Alligator mississippiensis: one gene and its partners. The protein of the gene in region 1 interacts with the protein of each later gene in a biochemical or structural test. Links are inferred from orthologs where the notes say so. Each region holds a gene or a part of one and is shown in the gene's direction. Other genes may lie near its edges.

What was found.
Region 2: the proteins of RPS6KA1 (region 1) and HTRA1 interact in a test that uses a peptide from one of them, tested with the Homo sapiens proteins (2 studies listed by BioGRID and IntAct, with this or other methods). The link is inferred for Alligator mississippiensis from reciprocal best matches to the Homo sapiens genes RPS6KA1 and HTRA1.
Region 3: the proteins of RPS6KA1 (region 1) and PDZRN3 interact in a test that uses a peptide from one of them, tested with the Homo sapiens proteins (2 studies listed by BioGRID and IntAct, with this or other methods). The link is inferred for Alligator mississippiensis from reciprocal best matches to the Homo sapiens genes RPS6KA1 and PDZRN3.

What each region holds. Positions count from the first base shown.
Region 1 is NC_081829.1:3,029,604-3,037,263, reverse strand, and holds the start of RPS6KA1 (ribosomal protein S6 kinase alpha-1), read left to right. Parts: upstream 1-4,659; 5' UTR 4,660-4,677; coding exon 4,678-4,806; intron 4,807-7,660. UniProt on the Homo sapiens protein: Serine/threonine-protein kinase that acts downstream of ERK (MAPK1/ERK2 and MAPK3/ERK1) signaling and mediates mitogenic and stress-induced activation of the transcription factors CREB1, ETV1/ER81 and NR4A1/NUR77, regulates translation through RPS6 and EIF4B phosphorylation, and mediates cellular proliferation, survival, and differentiation by modulating mTOR signaling and repressing pro-apoptotic function of BAD and DAPK1.
Region 2 is NC_081829.1:84,971,879-84,979,508, reverse strand, and holds the start of HTRA1 (serine protease HTRA1), read left to right. Parts: upstream 1-4,624; 5' UTR 4,625-4,678; coding exon 4,679-5,105; intron 5,106-7,630. UniProt on the Homo sapiens protein: Serine protease with a variety of targets, including extracellular matrix proteins such as fibronectin. HTRA1-generated fibronectin fragments further induce synovial cells to up-regulate MMP1 and MMP3 production.
Region 3 is NC_081835.1:8,314,909-8,322,592, reverse strand, and holds the start of PDZRN3 (E3 ubiquitin-protein ligase PDZRN3), read left to right. Parts: upstream 1-4,678; 5' UTR 4,679-4,761; coding exon 4,762-5,481; intron 5,482-6,936; exon of another isoform or gene 6,937-7,186; intron 7,187-7,684. UniProt on the Homo sapiens protein: E3 ubiquitin-protein ligase. Plays an important role in regulating the surface level of MUSK on myotubes. Mediates the ubiquitination of MUSK, promoting its endocytosis and lysosomal degradation. Might contribute to terminal myogenic differentiation.

The sequences.
Region 1 (7,660 bases):
CAGCATCTCAATGAAGCCAATAGGCGATGGAGGCAGGAGCAGGCTCCTTTCTCCTCTCTCTAGTTGAATTACAATATGCTTTGCTCTGTGTTTCAAATACAGTCCCTCTGAGTATTGTCCATTAACCTCCCAATGTGAGCTTGAAAAATTGTCTTATTTTCCTACTGGGTGCTGTGCCACTGAAGTGCTAGAAAAAGACTGTGCCGTAAGCAGAGCACCCCATCCATAGCCACATGCTCACCAACGTTTCCACACAAAAAGAAAACTCGCTTATTTTTTAACATCTTTCCATTGTTTACAACAGCAAAAGTGACCTCTGGGTCAAAGACTTCCCAGCAGTTAATGACCAGCTGGCTTAAGGTTATATATCCTCAGCTGCTCCAGAGGATTGCGAAGGACCTGATCTTCCAGGACCTCCTCTTTGAAGTCAGTAGGAGCTGTGCGCACCAACTGGTGGGAAATGCCCTCTCAGCCTGTCCTTATGATTAAATCTAACACTTTGGTTTGACAGCAGAGTTGGATGAGCCGTGAAGTGCGCAGTGCCTCCTCGACGGGCTTCTCAAAGGTCACTTCAAAGAGACCTAAATATGAACACGGGTAGGTTTGAAACAGTGAAACTGGGAAATGGCTGTTCTGTTCTACTCAGGGTCCTGAGCGCGCCACACCAGGTGTTATTCTGTATGGGCCCATGTATTACAGGCCAATTAAGGAAACATAAAGAAATACAAAAAACGGCATGGACCCCGCAAACAAATCAAAGGACAAAAATCGGACATTAGCTTTGCCGGCTTCCCACCAGTTTGGCGGCACAGCTCTTGTTGACTTCTGCACAGAGGTCCTGTGAGATCAGGTCCCTCTCAATCAACTGGAGCAGCTGAGGATATAACCGTAATCCAGCTGGTCACTAACTGCTGTGAAGTCTGTGACCCAGAGCTTGCTCTTGCTGTTAATAAATAGTGGAAAGATGTTAAAAAATAAGTGAGGGTTTGTTTTTGTTTTTTTATGTGTGGAAACATTGGTAAGCACGTGGCTGTGGATGGGATGCTCTGCTTACAGCACGACTCTTTTTCTAGCGCTTCAGAATGGGGTAGTAGAAAAATAAGACCAGTTTTCAAGCTCACAGTGGGAGGTTAATGGACAAGACCCAGAAGGATTGTCCAGCACTGAGGCTGTCTCTTAACTGATGCTATTCAAAGCAGGTTTGATTCTGCCCCAGCCGAAGAGTTATCATAGGGAGGCCACTATCTGCACTTCTGGCCATGAATGAAAGCTCTGGAGTTAGATGAAATAACCCTACGCGAGACTCATCACAGCTTGCTCTCACAGTAACTGCCATGAAGCCTGGATGTCTATAACAAGCCCTTACCCATATCATTCTGGTTCATTCAGCCTCCCAGGTTTATCGCCCAAGGGGTGGCTTTGAGGAATTATCTTCTTCAGATGACCTCATGCGTGAAACAGATGATACTAACTGACCACATACGATGTTGTGAAGGCTACTTGGAAAGGCCATTAATCTATGTTTTGAAGTGTTTTGAAGATTTACAGTGGGATTTTCAAAAAGCACTTGGCATTGAGCTGATTTAGCTCTCCTAGTTTGGGCTGAATAGATTGTGGGTCTGGGGGCCTTAGGTTGTTAGCTCTTTGGGACAGGAACTGTATCTTTGTGCATTGCACAGAACTGAGCACATTGCTTGGGCTTGTTAAATAGCAAGAGAATACTCTTGGCTGCCATGTTGATGAATATGCTTCTAATCTGCAGCTTGTCTTTTAAAACATACTTATTTAACAAGCAGCTTTATAATGAAATGCAACGGTGGGGTCGCAGAAGACGAGTGTTGAAGCAGTGCAGTACTATGCTCTGCTCAGTACGCATTGTATTTAACAGGGCATTTCTAAAACACCTTTCATCTGAAGATCTCTAGAGCCCCACGAACTTTAGATAAGTCCTTCTCCATTTTATGGAGAGACTGGAAAACAGAGATGTCATGAAAAACAGGGACTGGAAAACAGAGTTCCAACCTGTCCTGCGTATCATTCAATAATCCTCCAGACCCCTGCTTTCTGGTGGCCTTCTCCAGTGTTGGTATATGCAGCGAAGGCAGCAAACAGCTCTGTAAACGCACAGGAGAAGCACCAGGCTCCGGTTGGCTCTCAGTAGGTGCCGGGTGTCTAGCTGCCCTGTGTGCTTCTGGAAATATCCTCTATAAGCAATAATTTTTGTGTCAAGAAGAGAATGTTTAAAACCACCCAAAGCCACAAGGGGATTTCGAATGTAAAACTCCAGGGCTCTGTATGTTCAGGCGTTTTCATCTATATTAGGAAAGATCCTGTCACTGAGGAGCTACCAGTCAAATGGTGCACGTAAATGCCTGTGCATTATCACCAGCTTCGTTGGGATGAAGTGTTGCCACGTGCTGAGAGACTGGTCTGTTTAATGTCCTTAGCTGTATACATCTGCTGACAGTTTGATTTGATCCGTCTTCCTTCCTCTGCCTGTCTTGCACAAGCGAACATGAGGCTTCGTCCCAGCTTCCCTCATAATTGTATCCCTTGAACGTGCTTATCCTTGCCAGGTGTCTACACATTCATAGATCTTAGGGCTAAATAAAACAATTGCGATCTTCTCATCTGACCTCTTCTATAAGTCAGAGAATGACTTTTACCTGTAACTTATGTATGAAGCCTTTGTCTTGTTCTCTAGTATGGGGTTCTGTTTTGGGTTGCTTTCTTGGGAAGCACCCAGCCATAATTTCAAAACTTTAGGAGGTGGAGTCCACCACTTCCCTTGACACCACTTGGAATGACTTAATTGCTTTCACTATTCGACATTTGATCCTTATTCCTACCCTATCCAGCTGCACCTTCAGTTTAGCCTGGTTATGGCCAGTTCTGCAACATCACCCTTGTTTGAAATGTTTTATGGATCTGTCCATCCTACATGACAGACATGCACTCTCCAAATCTTCCCCGCATCGCTTTTGCCCTGGCTTCTTCCCTGTCCCTTCTCACCACCTTCCCAGTGGTAGCATGCAAAAGCCACCTCCGCCGTAGCACCTGTCAGCAAGCACAGCCTTCCCACTTCCTCAGCAGCTGGTTTTTCACAACTCTGTCCCACCACACCTCTGCCTGTTGTCGGGATATTGTGTATGCCACCGTCTTCCCACTTGTACAGTTCTGGAGACCGGTCTGGGTGGAAGACCCTTACACTGCATAAGGCTGTGTGGTGCTGTGGTAGGCGGGGGATTGTATGTTAGGGGCAAGGTGAGAAACTCAGTGGAAAGGGCATGATGCCAGTGGAAATCAGCTGTCCTAAAAGCATAAGAATTGCTGTTTACTGGGACAGACCATAGGTCCCTCTTTGCTGTGGCAGAGAGCGGGGGCTGGAAGGGAGAGCGACCTGGGTCTGACCAGGGGTTTTGCCCCCTGTTCCTCTCTCCCTTGCAGCCTCCAGCATTTCGGGTCTGATTCGGAGGTCGTGCCCCTCACTCTCATGCTCAATAGTGACCCCCAAATATGTGTCCAGTCCCTTTGTGAATGTGGTTGAACTCTCAGCGTCCACCGCCTCTGGTGGCAACGACCCCCAGCCTTTAATGATGCGCTGGGGGAAAACGAACTTCCTTATGTTCATTTTAAACCGACGACCTGCTCGTTTTACCGTGCGACCCCTCGTTCTCATCTTGCGAGCGAGAGCCAGTAACAAATCCCCGTTGACTTCCTCTTCGCCATTTAGTTTTGTGTAAACCCTCGTCATGTCGTCCCCCCCCCCATGGCCTCTCCTTCCCGCACTGAGCAGCTCTGGCCTCATCGGGAAGCCCCTCCATGCCGCTCATCATCCCCGTCGCCCTTCTCTGGGCCTTAAACAACCTGCTGTGAGGCTGGGAGAACGGGCTGGCGTCCAAAGCAATTCAGATGGGAGAGGTTCATAGATTCATAGATGTTAGGGTCGGAAGGGACCTCAATAGATCATCGAGTCCGACCCCCTGCATGGGCAGGAAAGAGTGCTGGGTCTAGATGACCCCAGCTAGATGCTCATCTAACCTCCTCTTGAAGACCCCCAGGGCAGGGGAGAGCACCACCTCCCTTGGGAGCCCGTTCCACACCTTGGCCACTGGAACTGTGAAGTTCTTCCTAATGTCCAGTCTAAGGAGAGGGGTCTAAAGCAGTTCAGGTTGGAGAGGGGTCTAAAAATTCAGATGGGAGAAGAGTCTAAAACAATTCAGGTGGGAGAGGGGTCCAAAGCAGTTCAGGTGTGCGCGGGGTGCCGCGGGGCCGGGGGCACGCACGCGTGCAGCGGGTCCGCTTCCCCACCGCCTGCCGGGGCGCGCCGCGACGGGACGGGAGCGCTGCCAGGAGAAACCCAGAGGGTTTTGTACGAGTCCCAGGTCGAATGAGCCCGCTCGGGTCCGACCCGTGCGAGTCGCCGGTAGCGGGGCCACGTGCGAGCATCCTCCGCTCCGCTCCCCTCCGCTCCCCTCCCCCGGCAGCTTGCGAGGCCGAGGGCGCCCGGGCGGGAGGGCGGGCGGGCTGGCAGCCGCGCTCTGCTCCGCCGGGGCCGGGGGCGGGGCGGGGCGGGGCGGGGGGCGGCGCCGTGCCGGCCGGGCGGAGCCGGCTGCAGCCAATGGAGGTGCGGGGGCCGGCGCCGGGCTCCTCCCCGCCGGGGGAGGCCGGTGCCCAATGGGGGCAGCGGGCGGCGGCTCCGAGCAGCTCGCCGCCGCCGCCGCCGGGATGCCGCTGGCGCAGCTGGGCGACCCGTGGCCCGCCGCCGCCGCCGCCGCCGAGGAGCTGGTGCAGCTGGACGCCGAGGTGAGCCGCGCGCCCGCCGCGAAAGTTTGCAGCGGACAAAGGGTCGGGAGGGAGGGGCTGTGCCCTGTCCTTCCCTTCCCTTCCCTTCCCTCTGCCCGCATCTCTGCGGACACCCCCTCTCACCCCCGCCCCCCACCCGCTTCCCGGAGGGCTTTGGAGGGACGGCGGCGTCGCGCCCGTGTGTCGCCGGCCCCCAGCACCGCGTGCGCCCCGAGGCGCCCGCTTCCCTTTACGGAGGGCAGGACGTCTACCCTGACCGCGGGCCGCCGTCGGGCTCTCGGGCGCGTCCAGCGGAGTTTGGGCTGGCCCCCGCGGCGCCGAGTCGCTTGCTGCGGGGTGGGTCGCGTCCTTGCCTCGGGCGCGATCGTGTCTCGCCGTGCCCGCGGTGCCCCCCGCCGCCCCCTCTCCCGAGCGTGTTCGCGGACACGCGCTGGCACCGGGGCACGTCTCGCGAATCTCCGGGGGGGCTAGAAGCCCCGGGGAGGCGCTCGCGGGTGCACGCTCTCCCCTCCCGCTTAATTCAGGCCTCCGATCGAGGTCTTCAGGGACTTGAATGCCGTCTGCCCTCTTAAGGGTGCCGTAGACCACAGAACCGTCCAAGGCAAAGCGCAGGCGTGGGCAACCACCGTGCCGTCCCACCGTGCTCCTTTGCCCGGTTCCTGCGAACGCGAATCGGCCTCTTCGTGGCACGGTCGCCGCGCGTGGGGTTTTTCGTAAGCCCGGATGCTGTTTCTTCCATCTTGCAAGCTGCCCCTGGACGCGGCAGTGTCGTGCTCTGGGCTCGCAGGCTTTCTCACTAAGGTCGACTGGTCCCGACTCTTTGAGAGAGACTCCTCTGTCTTGCAGGTTTGGGAGGGGGAATGGGTGGTCAGAGCTGCTTTTTCACCAGCCACCTCGCAAGACTTGGACTGGATGCTTCACCCCGCTTGCCTGGCAGCAGGGTCACGGGGCTCCACCTGCCGTGGGCTGGACGGGCACCTGCAGCGGGCTACCAGCATCTGCCGTAAAGCTTTTGGAGCCATTAGGATGCGTGTGCGCACCAGGGTGGGAGAAAAGAGTGAGAACTCATTCTGCAACGATTCAATCTCCCTGCCTGATATCACAGAGTGCTTTCAGGCCTGCCCATTGTGGTGAGGCAGCACAGATCCACAAGATAACAGCGTCACAGTAAAACACGACGGCGCTTTAGGCTGTTTTTTTAAATTTTAAGTTGGGAGGCTTCACGTGAAGCCAGACGACGCGATAAAAATAATGGGAGGGGAGAAGCGAACATCCGTGCCCAGTGCTGTTGGCAGGAGTGAGACTTCTGCTTGATCCTACAGACAGACTGTGTTTTTGTGTCTAATGTCTCGCTGCGGTGCCAACACGGGCAATGCTCTGCGTCTGGTCTGCAGGGGTTGGGTTCTTTTGTCTGCTGCATTTGGCGGTTGGAGGTCTCTGAAGTTTGAGAGAAACAGGGCAGAGAGGGAGCTAATGCAATGGCGCATTCTTGCCTATTGCCTCCCAGGTAGCCTACCCAAAAATGCAAGGTCTCCCTTGCGCTTGGCATCTCTAAAACTCAGTCCTATAGCTTCCGGGATCATTTTATTCTGCAGGCCTGAGTTCATTTGCTAACATCCCAACTAGCTCGAGAGGCGGTAGGTATACCCATGTGCTGGATCTCACGTTGCAGAATGGATGGTGTCAATAGCTTTTTGTTTTGCCTCCAAGATTGACTGCCATCTTCTGCGCCGGATGTCAGCATGTTCCCTCTGCGGCAGCGGAGTATCTGTCTGGCCGTGATTGAAAACCTGAGTCTGAGCCATGCCCTGCATGGGCTGAGGTTACTCCAGGGCAGCGGAAGCAAGTGGTCCCTGCTACGGCAGGAAGGTAGTTAAGAAATGGAAGAGACTTTTCTGGAATGTGAGTTACGTAAATCCCCCTGGGATCCTTGCCACAAATGGGCCTCCTCAAACCTTTGCTCTCTGAGTCACGGCACAGAGGTGTTAGTACGGTGCCGCTGGAGAAATCAGCCCCATTGTTCTGTCACGTTAGTAATCTGGTTCTCCGGTGGTCGCAGTCGGGCCTGTTTGGCACAGCAAGCTGGGGGGCTCCCGCGTGGAGCCCTGAGCTGCCTCCTGGGAAGGGGGACGACTGCACCCCGGGAGCCAAAGTGGAGCACGCTTCAGTGCTGGGGAGCTCCCTGGCAGATCGATCCCCCCCTCACACCACCACCTTCTACCCCTGTGATTCGCAACGCTGTTCTGCGCTCCGGCTGGGACAGCGTGCCAGCACTTGAAAGCAAAGTTGAATGGCTTCATTACCATAGTAATGAAAAGCAGCAGTGCTTTTCTTGAAACTCTTGTTTCATTAGACAAACACACAGCCGCGGAACCGATGTGAAGTTACAACCAACCCCGGTAACTTCAACCTCATTATTTTGCCCATTATACACGTCTTCGCCGAGCACAAGCTATTTGTGCTTGACTGTCTCTTTCAAGCATCTTTGCTGAATAATACATAAAATAACGATGGAAATATAAAGGAAGAGGCTATGCCCTCTCAATCTCTGATACATTTCTCCAGCTCAGCGCAGCCAACTTATTAGTCCTGCAAAGCCCACATGCTGTGTCTGCTTGAATTTTTTTTTTATTTAGTAGGGCTGTTTCTTGTCTCAAAGCCACCCACAGCAAGGTCCTCAAGTTCGATTTCAAAGGCAACGGCAGCAAAACATTTTTTTGTTGTGTCAAATTAGCAAAGACTTCTGACTTAAGGGCTTGATCCTCATTAGAGGAAGTCAGGACTTTGTACAGCCAGGCTTAATTTTAGTGAACAGTGAAACATTTTAGTGAGGAGGTTCCTTTCTTTTGGCTGT
Region 2 (7,630 bases), about 82 Mb from region 1:
GTGAAGAAGTTCTTCCTAATGTCCAATCTAAATCTGCTCTCTGCTAGCTTGTGGCCATTGTTTCTTGTAACCCCCGGGGGTGCCTTGGTGAATAAATACTCACCAATACCCTTCTGTGCCCCCGTGATGAACTTATAGGCAGCCACAAGGTCGCCTCTCAACCTTCTCTTGCGGAGGCTGAAAAGGTCCAGTTTCTCTAGTCTCTCCTCATAGGGCTTGGTCTGCAGGCCCTTGACCATACGAGTTGCCCTTCTCTGGACCCTCTCCAGGTTATCTGCATCCTTCTTGAAGTGTGGCGCCCAGAATTGCATGCAGTACTCCAACTGCGGTCTGACCAGCGCCCGATAGAGGGGAAGTATCACCTCCTTGGACCTATTCGTCATGCATGTTGATCTTTTTAAAAGTTTCTAGCTATCCCTCTGTCTATAGGGACTAAGCTGTTATGGAAATTATCCAGATTTGAACCTAATTTTTTGGGAGAAACCATACTCAATATCTTATTGTACAAATTCTTAGATCATATGGCTGAAAGGGATTGTTGGCTCATTTGGTAATTACATGCCTTTACATTTTACCATTATCCCTCAATAACTTAATTTGACTGAAGTTTATCTTCCAGAACTGCATCCAATCTTGATTGGATGATTAATCACTCCATTGTTAGAAATTTGTGTCTTATTTCTAATTTGATGCATATCTTCTGGCCATTTTCTTGGTAAGCCCCTTTGCTAGTTTAGAGACCTTCAGAACCTGTTCTTCCCCCTTCCCTCCCCCAAGGCATCTGTATTGTGTGAAAAAAAACACCTCTTCTTCCATCTTTTCAGATGCTAAATGAATTGAGCTGTCTTTCACTTGAAGGCATTTTCTCCACCTCAAATTAGTTCTGTGACTTTTTTCTGCACCTCCTACAATGTTACTACCTGGCAGATGCACACTATTCTATCGTTCCCATCAGAGCTGTAGAAGAGTGAGAAATTACCTCCCTATCTTCCTGCTTACTCATCCAAGAAACATATTGGCCTTTTTTGTCACAGCAAAGGGCTTGAGGGTTCACCTTCAATTGTTTCTTTAGTCTGACTCCTAAAGAGTGCAGGCCATACCTGTAGAATAGCAAACTATCCTGACAAGGATCTCTCTTCTGTAGGCATGACCTTCATTCTTTGTTCCTTAGTGTTACCTGCATATGCATTCAAATGAATGAGCTTCCTGACTGCCCATCCTCTTGAGTGCTTGCCATTCTACCAATCTTTGTGTTATCAGCAAATGTTATATTTACTTTCAGGTCCTTCATTAAAATGTTGAACTGTATTGGCTCAATACAGATCCTGACAAGTAAGGTGCACTACAGTACCCCACTTGGTGGTGATTACCTATTCATTTTTTTGAGAGATCAGGTAAAATCCATTTACTTATGTCCATCACACTGCTAGTTTTAAATAGGATGTCATGCTGTGCAAAGTCAAAAATTAGTATCACACCTACCTCAGCAAGCTTGTGTGATTAAAGGTAACTTTTATAGGAAACCCTTGCTATTTACAGATTTGGCATTCGTGGTTTCGAGTATTCGCGGTGCAGTGCGATGACACTTCATTACAACGCTGGCGGCATCTGTGGGAGCTCTGCGCTTGCCACTGCTGGGCTCCCGCCAGCGCAGCCCTGCCCCCCCAGCTGCTGGGGGCACGCTCCGTTCATGAACACAATGTTCATGAATGCCGTGCAGTATTCATGGATGGGATCTCTAGAACATATCCCCCTGCGAATGGTGACAGTCTCCTGTAATTCTCATTATTACTTTCCTGCCAGTATCAAAACCCTGCCAACAACCCTGAATTGTAACACTTGTGCTTTATTTAGGCAGGTAAAAATCCCCATCTAAGAGGGAAGTAGGATGTCTAGACCTTCAGAAGTACATCTATGCTGAGCTTTTCAGCTGTGGGGTGGGGCTTTTTCTGCCTCCTTACAAAATGCACTTGCAAAAGCCTAGTGTTTGGTGTGATGCTGACAAGTACTGTGAGAAGCCTGCTTTTCCTTGGGTGGAAACTTGCTCCCCTTCCCCATTCTCCCGAAGTCTGTTCATGGGTAATCCTCCTGATTTGAGGATGATCTCTACCACAACTCAGTGACGGGTCTTAAGGTGATTTAAGAGTCCAATCCTTGAGCCATAAACCCAGCTGCAGAAGCTGCAGGTCTTTTTGCAGGAGAATGTAGGCTGTCAGCTAGGATTTCTCTCCTTTTCCTTCCTCCAATTTTCCCTTCTGTGCTTGGAGCACAAAATGCTTTTCCTTGAACTGGGCTGTTACTTGGTTGAGGCTGAGGAGCCACTGCAGCTGGTCATCAGCCAGCTCCCTTTTCTTAATGTCCGCCTTTGACCTGTCCTTGCCTGGTGTCCTCAGGCCTCCGTGAGATCTTAAGCTGGGAGCAGAGCACTTGTTTTGCCCGTCGCAGTCTGTTATTGCCGCAAGGCAAAAATGCAGGACGGTGGTTCTCAGCTTTTTTTTTTTTTTTTTTTCTTCAGCTCATGGAAGCAGACAGGAAATGCCAGTCTCCCCCCTTTTTCTTTTGACCCTGGAAAAGTAACAAAGCAATTCTGCTGCTGCCACGAACCTAAAGACAGTGCAGGGCAGAGCTTCCCAGCCCCAGTGCTCCTCCCCTGCAGCCCTTGTTCTTTATCTTGGGAAGCGAGTGCAGATGCCACCGGGAGCAAGAATCACTGTGCAGGGGGCAGTGGTTTGGGTCCCCTGAGAGGAAAGGGGGCTCCTTCTCTCCAGCAAGCAGCCATTCCCCAGTTGCTTTCTGCCTTGGGGTCAGGTATCCAGGTTGTTTTAAGGGAATATGACTACATCCTGCTTATCACCAAACCACTTTGAGGTAACTAAACTACTCCAACTTTTCTCTGAGCCTAATCTGCATCTAAAACAAATTGTTTCAAACAGGAGATTTACTACACCTTCACCCCTCCTGTGAAATATGAACTTTCATTTCTATCCAGGAAGACTTTTACAATCTTTTCTCCGATGCCTGGAGAAGGGTGTTTGTGCCCAAAAGCTTGCAATTATGGTTTCATTAAAACTTGCCTGTGTACTAGCTTTTTCAGGGTTATAGTAACCCTATTTCATATACAGGCAGTCCTCAATTTACAACGTTTCAAGGTTTATAAACTAACACCGTTTCAACTTTCTGACGTTGGCTTTGACTTTACAACACTTGATCCGACGCCACGCCAGTGAACGAGTTCACTGCGTCACCCATCTCCCTGGAGTACATCTGTCCGAACTTCCTTGGACACTTTCTTTAAGAAAGCAGACAAGACTCCTGAGAAGACTCCAACAAGGAACCATGTGAAAATCCAGCAAAGTCACCTCAAAGAAGTCCTTCCAAATCAATATGATTGCTATTCACAATAGAAATACCAGGGCTGTACGAAGCTTTGGTTGCTGATTCAATTTGGAGGAGATTTGGCCCGATTTGGTGGCCAAATCTCTAAATCTGAATTGAATCAGGAGACCCATTAAACTCTCCAAATTGAATTGGAAGCCTCCGAATCGATTTGGAGAGATTTGATGATTCGGCCATAGACATAGCTTCATATGTTTTTTTTTTTCTACATACCACAAGGTACCCGGTGGCTCATAAACGCTGAGATGGTGGGGTGGATGGAGCATCCCACGGGAATTTGGGGTGGGGTGGACCCGCAAGTGGACCAGAAGCACTTCCAGTCCACTTCCGGGTTCATGGTGGAGGCCCCCCCCCCCACTCCTGTGGGGTGCTCCTTCTGCCCCAGCATCGCAGCGTTCACAAGCCGCTCTGGTACCTCGAGGTATATAGAAAAATATTTAAAACTGTCTGTAGCTGAATCGCTGATTCTCTGAATCAGCATCGAATCTTCAGATTTGGCCAAATTGAATTGGGACATATATTCGAATCAGTGAATCGAATCACTGTCCCCCAAATCAGGCTGAATCCAAATCCGGATCACATAAGGCCCACTTCATGCCCCCTGAGCAAATACATGAATGTAGTCATCAATAATGGCTTGAGTACAAAATTCAGGGTTACTTTTGCTGCAAATAGGGGTTGGGGCTTGGTTCAAGAACCAGTTCCTCCCCCATTTATAACATTGTTTCCTATGGGGAAATCAGCTCCGAATTAGGACATTTCGACTTCAGACGCCGTTTTCAGCAGAGTCGTGTCACAAGCCTGAGGACTCCCTGCGCTCATCTACAATGACTGCAGTACAACATTTTGGCTTCCTTTGGGTGAAAAGAGGGGGTCGGGCTTGGTTCAAGCCCGTTTATAACACAGTTTCCTATGAGAAAACCAGCTCCGAGTTACACTTCGGTTTCAGGCGCGGCTTTGGGAAACTCGGTTTCGAGTCGCAGAGCCGCGTCTTCAATTCGAGGCTTGGAAGAAGAAAGGGGTTTTTTTTTTTCTTATTTATTTTTTATTTATTTTTCTCTTTTAGTCGGTTTTGGGGGAAGACATCAGCTCCCTGCCCCCTTGCGTGGCTCGGGCCGGGGCGGCGCGGAGGCGCAGGCGGCCAGCCCTCCGCCCGCCCCGCGGCGGGGCTTGCCCGTGCGGCCGCCCCGCCCCGCCCCGCCGCCCCGGAGCATCTCCCCGGCTCGAGGCGCAGCGCTGCTCGCCGCCCGCCCGCCCGCCCGCTCGCTGCCCGCCGCCCAGGATGCTGCTGCCGCTGCTGTTGCTGCCGCTGCTGCCGGCGCCGGGCTCGGCCGTCTGCCCCGAGCGCTGCGAGCCCGAGCGGTGCCCGGCGCTGCCGGCCCACTGCGCCGCCGACTTGCCCGACCCGTGCGGCTGCTGCCGCGTGTGCGCCGCGCAGGAGGGCGAGCCGTGCGACGGCCCGGGCGAGCTGCCCTGCGGAGAGGGGCTGCGCTGCCTCGCGCCGCCCGGCGCGCCCGGCGCCCCCGCCTCGGCCACGGTGCGCAAGCGGGCGCGGGCCGGGCGCTGCGTGTGCGCCAGCAGCGAGCCCGTGTGCGGCAGCGACGCCGTCACCTACAGCAACCCCTGCCAGCTGCGCGCCGCCAGCCGCCGCTCCGAGCGCCTCCGGCAGCCGCCCGTCATCCTCATCCAGCGCGGCGCCTGCGGACACGGTGAGCCCGCGACCGGCGCCCTCCTCGGGCAGGGGGGAGCCAGGCTGGCGCCGAAGAGGAAGGCTTGGAAAGTTCCTCTTGGCGAGGCTTTGTCCGGAGAAGAAGCGAGCTGTGCAGAGGGAAGCGGGGCCCGACTCTTTGCACCTGCTTTCGGGACTTGGAAAAGTTCCCACCCATCGCAGCCCCGTGTGGAGCAGGCGTGGCTGCTCCTCACTCACCCGCCTTTCTCCGTAGGTGCTGTGCCCCTAGGGTCATTCGTGCCCTTCAGTCCCAAAGGAGGGGTGCGGCCTGCTGCCACCTCCCTTGGGTGTTTGTGACGGGGTCGTAGATTCATTCGTGCCGTTCAGTCCCAAAGAGAGGTGCCCTGAATGGCCCCTGCCACCTCCCTCGGGTGTTCGTGGCGGGGTCGTAGATTCATTCGTGCCATTCAGTCCCAAAGGAGGGGTGCGGTCCCTCTGGATGGCCCCTGCCATCTCCCTCGGGTGTTCATGACAGGGTTGTAGATTCATTCGTGCCGTTCAGTCCCAAAGGAGAGGTGTGGTCCGTCTGGATGGCCCCTGCCACCTCCCTCGGGTGTTCATGGCGGGGTCGTAGATTCATTCGTGCCATTCAGTCCCAAAGGAGGGGTGCGGTCCCTCTGGATGGCCCCTGCCATCTCCCTCGGGTGTTCATGACAGGGTTGTAGATTCATTCGTGCCGTTCAGTCCCAAAGGAGAGGTGTGGTCCGTCTGGATGGCCCCTGCCACCCCCCTTGGGTGTTCATGATGGGGTCAGGGTCTGCCATGGGGAGGTGAATAACATGAGGGGCAGGCTGAGAGGAGGGGAAGTTGGGTACAAAGCAGAGATGCCCCTTGTGGACCTGCTGAAGCAGAGGTGCCTTAGCTTCGTGAGCCCCGGCTTGCTTCATCAGAAGCACTTATTTTGCATCTTCCCAAGTTCAGTTGGGAATCCTCAAGCCTGTGGCTGCTCATCTTCTTCAGGGTCCCCAGATACAGCCCAGCTTCGGTGTGGTCCGCTCTGTGGCTGGCAGGCGGAGTGTGGACTTCGATCTGCAGGTTGGAACGTGAATGCCTCAAACCATTCCTGTGTCCCTCAGGCCCAAGAGTGCATGAACTGGGGTATTTCTGGTCCCCGTCAGGTGCCAATGTGATATAAGGGATGGTTGCTAGGAATATTGTGACTTGAAGAATGACCATTTGGTTTCCCTCTTATGCACTTCTGGAAGCTTTGTGACAAAAAAAAAAAAGCTAGAAAATAAACTGTGACCCTTAACATTTTTGATTGTAAATGACATTCCCAACGTCTGTAGCGGGGGAAATGCTCTTGTGAAGTGGCTTCCTTTTCTAGCTGGAGCTGATGCGTCTTGTGGGTGGTGATGGAAAGGTTTCAGACAACTATTAAGTTAACATAGAGCTGTTGAGACATTTCAGAAAGACAGGTGCTCGGTAGTTTATCGGCTATCCTTGGTCGGCAAGGAAGAAGTCCATATTGGATGTGAACTTTGATTTGTAAAGTTCCAGAAGTGCTTAATAAACTGATCCACAGCTTCCAGAGGTGGGTCATAGCACTGAAACACAGTCAGCGCAGGGGTAAAATAAGTAAATTACATATGCACGATTAGGAGAGGATTAAAGAGTTGTCCTTGATTCCTGTAGGGCATTCAAGTTCAGTCAGAAACCAGAGCACGAATGCAACGTGTTGGTTTTTTTTAGTTCACAAATTGATAGAAGGAAAAGAGATGCTATGTTCAGTTTAAGAGCTAAATTTCCCCCTCCTCATTGCTTTTAAGAAAATTAAAATTTTAGGACTGCAGCTTCTTTGGCCCATGTTGAGAATAGAATTGATGCTTGAGGTTGGCTTGTTTTAGCACCCGAAAGCTCCAGAACATAATCGCGTTGCCTGATGTAGGTCTTGAGAAATGTTTTTGAAGGGTCATGTAACGACGTACTCTTTCATGAGGAAGGGTTTTGAAAAGTATAATTTTGTAAAAGCAGATATTGCTATATGGGTGCAATGTGTTTATGTTGGTTGAACAGGCAGTGAGCTACTGTCACCCATCTCATTGGATAATCTGGTCAATAATAATAGATTTATTAGTGGGTAAAGCAAACTGAAAAGCATATGATGTTGATTCCCCTCCACCCCCTGAATTCCCTTGAAAAAGAACATAGTATTTAGTGCAGGGAAAATAATAGTGCAACGAATAACAAGGAGAATGTCACACCCCTCCAACCCTGCCCCCACCCTCCTTTGACGGTATTATAAGTATTTATAGCTGTGTTGAGTCTGACAAATTAGAGGGGAAATAACAGGCAAAAGTTTCACTGAGCCAGCTAAATGTGCATGTAAATACGTTACACCAAAGTGGATCTAAATGCATTTGAGTCAAATTTCTTTCACTGTGCACATTGAAATGTATTACATAATATACATAATATATAATACATAATTCAGAGTTTAAAAATGACAGAATTCTCTTCTCAAGTTAACAGCAGTAATAAAGACATAAGGTGTACCAGAACCGG
Region 3 (7,684 bases), on another chromosome or scaffold:
AACATTAAAAGGCTCACATAGAGAGATTTTTTTTCTTTTTTAAGGGAAAAATGAAATATAAGTGTCTCAAGTGGGAATGGCTCCAGTCACATTTTCCTCCTGTGTAACAGTTGTGAGAAGAGGAATTCAACTGCAGTCCCCTGCCATCTTCCTAAAACTTTTTTTTTTTTGTTTCGTTTTTATAAACGAACATATGGTAAAGTTTTCGTCAAACTTTAGGCTCCATTCATAACTATGAGTCTGTTCCTACATAAAATGTAGTACTTGTGAGTATCACATAATTCAGCAGCGGCAGCAGCATCTGCCTGGGCGGGACTCCAAATGAAAACATTATTCAAGCTCTTGCCCATATTTTCCATCCAGATAGTTGAATAGTTTCAAGTAACTTAAGAAACCTGGCCCTAATTTTGCTCCATTTAAAAAAGAAAAGTCTACGGAAGTTTTGCTATTGGCTTCAATAGGAGCAGGAACCATCAATATGGTGCTGGCATTGTTAAAATAATGAACCCAACATGCAATAGCTAGTAATATACATAAGGGTACTACAAAGGCAAAGGTAATATATAATGCAATGATATTTGTTGCCTTGTCCTTGTTGGTCTCAAACATAGTTTATCTATCTATATCTATATTTATCTATATCTAGATAGATAGATAGATAGATCAAATACGTATGAGACCAACAAGGCAACAAATATTATTGCATTATATATTACCTTTGCCTTTGTAGTACCCTTATGTATATTACTAGCTATTGCATGTTGGGTTCATTATTTTAACAATGCCAGCACCATATTGATGGTTCCTGCTCCTATTGAAGCCAATAGCAAAACTTCCGTAGACTTTTCTTTTTTAAATGGAGCAAAATTAGGGCCAGGTTTCTTAAGTTACTTGAAACTATTCAACTATCTGGATGGAAAATATGGGCAAGAGCTTGAATAATGTTTTCATTTGGAGTCCCGCCCAGGCAGATGCTGCTGCCGCTGCTGAATCTATAGATTCTCTCTATATATATCTATAGATTCACCAGAGGCACAGCAGCATCCGCCTGGGTGGGACTCCAAATGAACACATTATTTAAGTTCTTGCTCATATTATATATATAGATATATATATACACATGAAGAGAGAGAGAGAGACTATCTGACCTAAGGAATTTACACAGTATAATACTTGAATAGGGCCTTGTCTGAGGAGCCTGACCTGCATACTTCTTGCTGACTAAGCTTCACAAGCAGAGCATTTTTACAATAAAGTAATTTTTATTTCAGAGCAGTGTGGCTGCCCATGAAGCTAACCCAGAATAGTTACTGCAAAATAATTTACTCTGCAATCAAATAGCTTTGCTAGATAATTTCCCCTTTGTAACATGGCCTAAGCTAGGCTTACATTGCTGCCTAGGTTTACTTCAGCAGTTATGGTGGGTCATAAGGTGATGACCTCCATAACCCACAGCTCCCCACTGTTTATCTGTAAACTCTGGAGAGTGATCCCGATCCGGAAAGCTCAGCCACCTCAGTTTGCCAGACTTTTTCTGTAGACCGCTTGGAACTTACCCAGGCATTCAGACTCCAACCTCCAGTTCCACGACTCCATGTGCCTGACTTCTGGCCCTTCTGCTCCCTGTTTCCTCTTTCGTCGGCCTGTATGCAGAGATAAGCAGATTGCAAGCGATTCCTAGGAAAGCGCCATCATCATAAATAAATGCCACTTCACAACTAGGCAGCACAACGTGGAAAGCCTTGGTACAGACTACAGAGCATAACATAGATGGAGAAGCACAGCTCACATGCCTTGTGTTGGTTGAGGGCAACCTTGGATCAACCCTAAATATCAATTAGACATGCAGGGCTTGATCCATCAGTATGGGAAAGGACATGGGAAACTAAAAGGGGGGAAAAATGAAAGAAAGAGTTCCCATTTGCTACAGTGAGCTTTGGCACTGAGGCTTATACTGCCTGTGTGCTCAGAATAGGTAACATATGGACAAAGCCATTCAGGCAAGACGCCCATTGAAAACACTGGGGGGTTTGTCTAATTAAGTAGTTGAGCAATTTTACCACAAGCTGTGGGGCTGAGTTCAAATCCTCGCAAAGGCAGCATTAAATTAAATTAGAATACACTAATTAAAACATAGCCTTACGGACACAGGCTGTGAAAGCCCTCAGGCTGAACTTAAATTATATACGCAGAGTCCTACGTCCCATTGTAATCATCACCTCAATCTTGTAAAAAACAATGTATATGCGTGTGAACTGATGAGGCACATGCATTGCCTCCAGTGGTATTACCTGTACACGCACAGTTAAGCCTTTGCGGGGTAGAAGCCTTAACGGCTGAAATGAAATGAGGGTTACAGAAAGAGCAAAGAAAATTGAAGGCGACAAACTAAAGAACATGCAAATACTGCAAAATGCTCACTAGGTAATGAAATAACAATATACGGATAGGACTGCTTTAGGTCTCAATGTGCTAAAGATTAGTTACAGATAAATAATCGTAACTGTTCAGAAAGGTCTTCTACCATGGCGTAACAGTGACACACCAAAGGTCATCTTGAAGTTGCAGGTCCCAAAAGTCTCTGACTTAACTGGAAGATATGGCTTACTGAGAGAGCCATCAAACCAGAACAGAGATGTGGTAATTGTGTGTGTGTGTGTGTGTGTGTAGCTTATATATATATATATATATATATATATATATACACACACACACACATAAATCTGCTTCCCCATCTACACCAAGTTCATACTTAATTTATAGCTTTCCCACTTCTTCAATAGCTGTCCCAAGATTACAGGCAGCATTCACCAGCTCTTTATTAGTTCCTTCTTAAACGCTGCTAGATGATCTCTGTGCAGAAGCTGCTTTTGAAAACTCTAGCCTTTCCTGGGCCCAATAATTCCTACTGACATTAATGGGACATTAATAGACCCTGCGCACATAGAAAATATATTCTTTTTTCATACAGCAGCAGTAAGCAGGGCAGGGCTCTAGCAAGGAAGGGCAGAGGCTGTACTTCCAGTTAGGGTCTTTATCCTGCTAGGACCTCCAAGCTGGAACCAACCAAGGATGTAGGGATGTGCCCCAAGAAGTGTGTAGGTTGAAGGGGAAAGGATCTAGAAAGACCTTAGTACAAACGGCAACTGGTTTTGGTGTTATTGAGCATGAAGACGGCTAATACAAGCCTCTCTGCTTCAGGACCATAGACTCACAGACAATGAGGGCTGGAAGGGACTGAGGCGGACTCCATCTAAGTTACACGGTTTTCTGTAAGGGGCCTAGTTGAGATTGGTAGCGAACAGAACACACGCTCGCCCTTTGGCGGGGACGGGGGTTAGATCGGGTTCTGCTATTTTAAATCCAATCTATGTTTGCTGAACTTCTGTTCGGGTACAGGTAGAGACTGGTTTTGTGTAATGGACTTCTGTTCTGTTACGGGTGTGGAGCAGTTTTGTGCACCTGACTTCTGCTTCGTTATGGGTATAGACCAGTCTTGTATGCCCAATGTCTGCTCTGTTATGGGTAAAGACTTGTTTTGTGTGCCCAACTTCTGCTCTATTATGGGCATAGACCAGTTTTGTGTGCCCAACTTCTGATCTCTTACGGGTATAGACCAGTTTTGTGTGCCCAACTTCTGATCTCTTACGGGTATAGACCAGTTTTGTGTGCCCAACTTCTGTTCTGTTACGGGTATGTGCACCCAACTTCTGCTCTGTTACGGGTATAGACTGGTTTTGTGCGCCCAACTTTTGCTCTATTATAGGTACAGACCAGTTTTGTATGCTCAACTTCTGCTCTCTTACAGGTATAGACCGGTTGTGCATGCCCAACTTCTGCTCTGTTATGGGTATAGACAAGTGTTGTGCGCCCAACTTTTGTTCTCTGATGGGTATAGACCAGGTTTGCGTGCCCAACTTCTGCTCTCTTGCAGACATAGACCGGCTGTGTGTGCCCAGCTTCCGCTGTTACGGGTACAGACCAGGTTTGTGCACACAACTGTTGCTCCAATACGGGTCTAGACCATCTTTGGGTGCCCACTTTCTGCTCTGAGTAGAGCTCAGCTTTGCATGCCCAACTTCTGCTCTCTTACAGGTACAGACCGGTTATGCGTGCCCAACTTCTGCTCTGTTATGGGTATGTATCACCAACTTTTGCTCTATTATGGGTATAGACCAACTCTGCGTGCCCAACTTCTGCTCTCTTCCAGGCATAGACCAGCTGTGTGCACCCAGCTTCTACTGTTACGGGTACAGACAGGTTTTGTGCGCCCAACTTCTGCTGTCTTAGAGGTATAGCCAGGGTACGCGTGCCCAACTTCTGCTCTGTTATGGGTACGCGTGCCCAACTTCTGCTCTGTTACAGGTATAGACGGGTGTTTGCGCGCCCAACTTTTGCTCTAGACCAGCTTTGTGTGTGCCCACCTTCTGCTCTCTGGCAGGTCCAGACGGGTTGTGCGTGGGCATCTTCTGCAGAGCCCACTTTCCCACCACTTCCCGCGGCGGCAGAAGCGCGACGCCCGTCCGTCCGTCCAGCCGCTGCGGCGCTGCAAGCCGGCGGCTCCCGCGGGACAGCCCCAGCCCGGCTGCAGCTGGCCGAGCCGAGCCGAGCCGAGCCGAGGGGCGAGGGCTGCCGAGTCCCTCCCCCGAGGAGGGAGGGGCGCTGCCTCGGAGCCGGAGCCTCGGCAGCAGCAGCAGCAGCAGCAGCCTCTGCCGCCGCCGTGTCCTGCCCCAGCAGCAGCGGCAGCGGTGCGCCGGCGGGATGGGCTTCGAGCTGGAGCGCTTCGACGGCGACGTGGACCCGGCGCTGCAGTGCGACCTGTGCCACAAGGTGCTGGAGGACCCGCTGACCACGCCGTGCGGCCACGTCTTCTGCGCCGGCTGCGTGCTGCCTTGGGCCGTGCAGCAGGGCAGCTGCCCCGCGCGCTGCCGGCGCCTGTCGGCCAAGGAGCTGCACCACGTCGCGCCGCTCAAGAGCCTCATCCTCAAGCTGGACATCCAGTGCGAGCACCGCGCGCGCGGCTGCCCGGCCGTGGTGCCGCTGCAGCAGCTGGCGGCGCACGTCGAGGCGTGCGGCTTCGCCCCCGCCCGCTGCCGCCACCCGGGCTGCGCCGCCGTGCTGGACCGGCGCGACGTGGAGGCGCACATGCGGGAGCGCTGCGAGGCGCGCGCGGCGGGGCCGTGCGAGCGCGGCTGCGGCTTGGTGCTCACCCACGGCGAGCGCCGCGCCGGCGGGCACTGCTGCGTGACGGCGCTGCAGGGCCACGGCGCCGGGCTGCAGGCGCGCCTGGCCGCGCTCGACAAGGAGCTCAAGAAGGCGGCGCTGCGCGCCGGCAAGCGCGAGCAGGCGCTGCGGGCCCGGCTGGCGGCCGCGCAGCTCGAGCTCCAGGTCACGGCGCTGCGCTACCAGAAGAAGTTCACCGAGTACAGCGCCCGGCTCCGCTCGCTCGGCGCCGCCCGCTGCCTGCCCGCGCCCGACAAGGTGAGACACCCGCCACACGCACCGCGCCAGACGGGACCGCCGCGGCGGCGGGGAGTGTGTGTGTGTGTGTGTGTGCGCGCGTGTGTCTGTGTGTGTGCGTGCGTGCACGGCAGGGAGTGAGAGTACAGTGAGTGTGTGTGTGTGTCCATGTTCATGGTGTGTGCGCGTGCACGACAGGGAGTGAGAGTAGTGTGTGTGTGTGTGTGTGTGTGTGCATGGCAGGGAGTGAGAGTAGAGTGAGTGTGTGTCCATGTTTATGGTGTGTGTGCATGGCAGGGAGTGAGAGTAGTGTGTGTGTGTGTGTCCATGTTCATGGTGTGTGCGTGTGCACGACAGGGAGTGAGAGTAGTGTGTGTGTGTGTGCATGGCAGGGAGTGAGAGTAGAGTGAGTGTGTGTCCATGTTCATGGTGTGTGTGCACCACAGGGAGTGAGAGTAGTGTGTGTGTGTACACGGCAGGGAGTGAGTAGTGTGTGTGCATGTGTCCATGTTCATGGTGTGTGTGTGTGCATGGCAGCAGGGAGAGACACAGATGCTCTGTGTGTGCGTGTGCATGGCAGGAGGGAGAGAGAGTGTGTGTGTGTGTCCATGAGCATAGCAGGCGGAGGGGTGTTGCATAGCAGGGAGTGAATCAGAGAAGTGTGTGTATATGTGTGTGTTCATGGCCATGGCCAAGAGAGTATGTGTGTGTGTGTGTGTGCATGACGGTGGGGGGGCAGTGAGTGTGTGTGTGGCAGGGAGTGGGAGGTGTGTGTGTGTCCATGTGCATGGTGTGTGTGCATGACGGAGTGAGAGTAGTGTGTGTCCATGTGCATGGTGGGGGGGGTGCATGACGGGGAGAGATTGTGTTTGTGTCTGTGTGCCCATGTGCATGGCAGGGGATGTGTGTGTATCCATGTACATGGCAGAGTGACTGTGTGTGTGCATGGCAGGGAGTAACAGTAGTGTGTATGTGTGTGTCCATGTGCACAGCAGAGGGGGCCATGGGGGGGGCGGTTCATGGCAGGGAGAGAGTGTTTTTGTTTGTGGCTGGGTGTGTCCATGTGCCTGGCGGGGTGTGTGCGTGTTTGTGGCAGGGAGCGTGTGCGCATATGTGTGTGTGTGTGTGTGTGCGCGCGGCAGGGAGGGAGAGACGGTTGGGGTGGTGGGGCTCACTTTGTGTTCAGTCACCACATTCCCTAGCAAGCACTTTTCTTCCCTGTGCCCCTTAGGAGGGTCTGGTAAGGGAGCAGGATTTTTTTCGGCTGAGACCTATTTTTCTCCCCCTCCCTCCCCACCCGCAGATGTGTCTGTCAGCTGCGGTCCCAGCCAGCTGGCCGGTTCTGGGCAAAGGGCAAATATTTACAGCTAAGCTGCTCACCACTAACTGAAGAAATAGAACCTGCCCTAGAAAGGAGTTGCCCAGATCCAGGGGGTGAAATGTCCATGTTTCTCTTCGTTATTTTTTTTTCCTTACCTTGTTTTAATGCTTCAAACTCCTGGCATACACATGCGAGTTGGACTTCTTGGACGATTTCCCCCACCGTCTAGCTCGCATGCCTTCTGAGGCTGGTTCATTGTTTTTCCCTCTTGGTGTCTGGGATCTTATGCTTGTCACTGCAAACTGGATGTGCTTATTCGTAACGCAGGGTGCTGTCGGTTGGGCTTTGAGGGAGCTGTACTGCAGGGAGCTCAAGCCTATCTGGGATGTTAACTTCTTGAGAAGTGAGCCTGATTTAAAAAAAACAAACAAACAAAAAATGCATTTTAAATCTGATGCTTAAAGACCAGAATTCAGCGGCTATATTCTCTGTTTCTATGCCTGTATTTCTAAGGGGACCCTCCTTGGGAATTTGAAGTCAGATATGCAGGTCACAATACTTTCCCCCCACTCCTTGTCCCCTCAAGCAGCACAAAAGCATTTTTCAGGATTCAAAATGGCATTGAATCACCAACTTGCTAGGAGTTAGGTGAACCCGAACGGCTCACCAGACGCTTTTTTGTTTTTGATGACCCAGTACTTTCCAAATCCGGCATTCCACGTCCCTAAATCATCCAGAGCAGGCTCTCCAAACCATGGCTTTCTGCAGCATGAGGTCACTTGGATTAGTACCTTACACAACTCGGAGCCCCTCAAACAAGCTACGTGCTATCAGGAGCTTCCTCCTAATGAGGTCTTCATGACGTGGAACGGCTGAGCACGGACTTTCTGCCGCATGTATGCC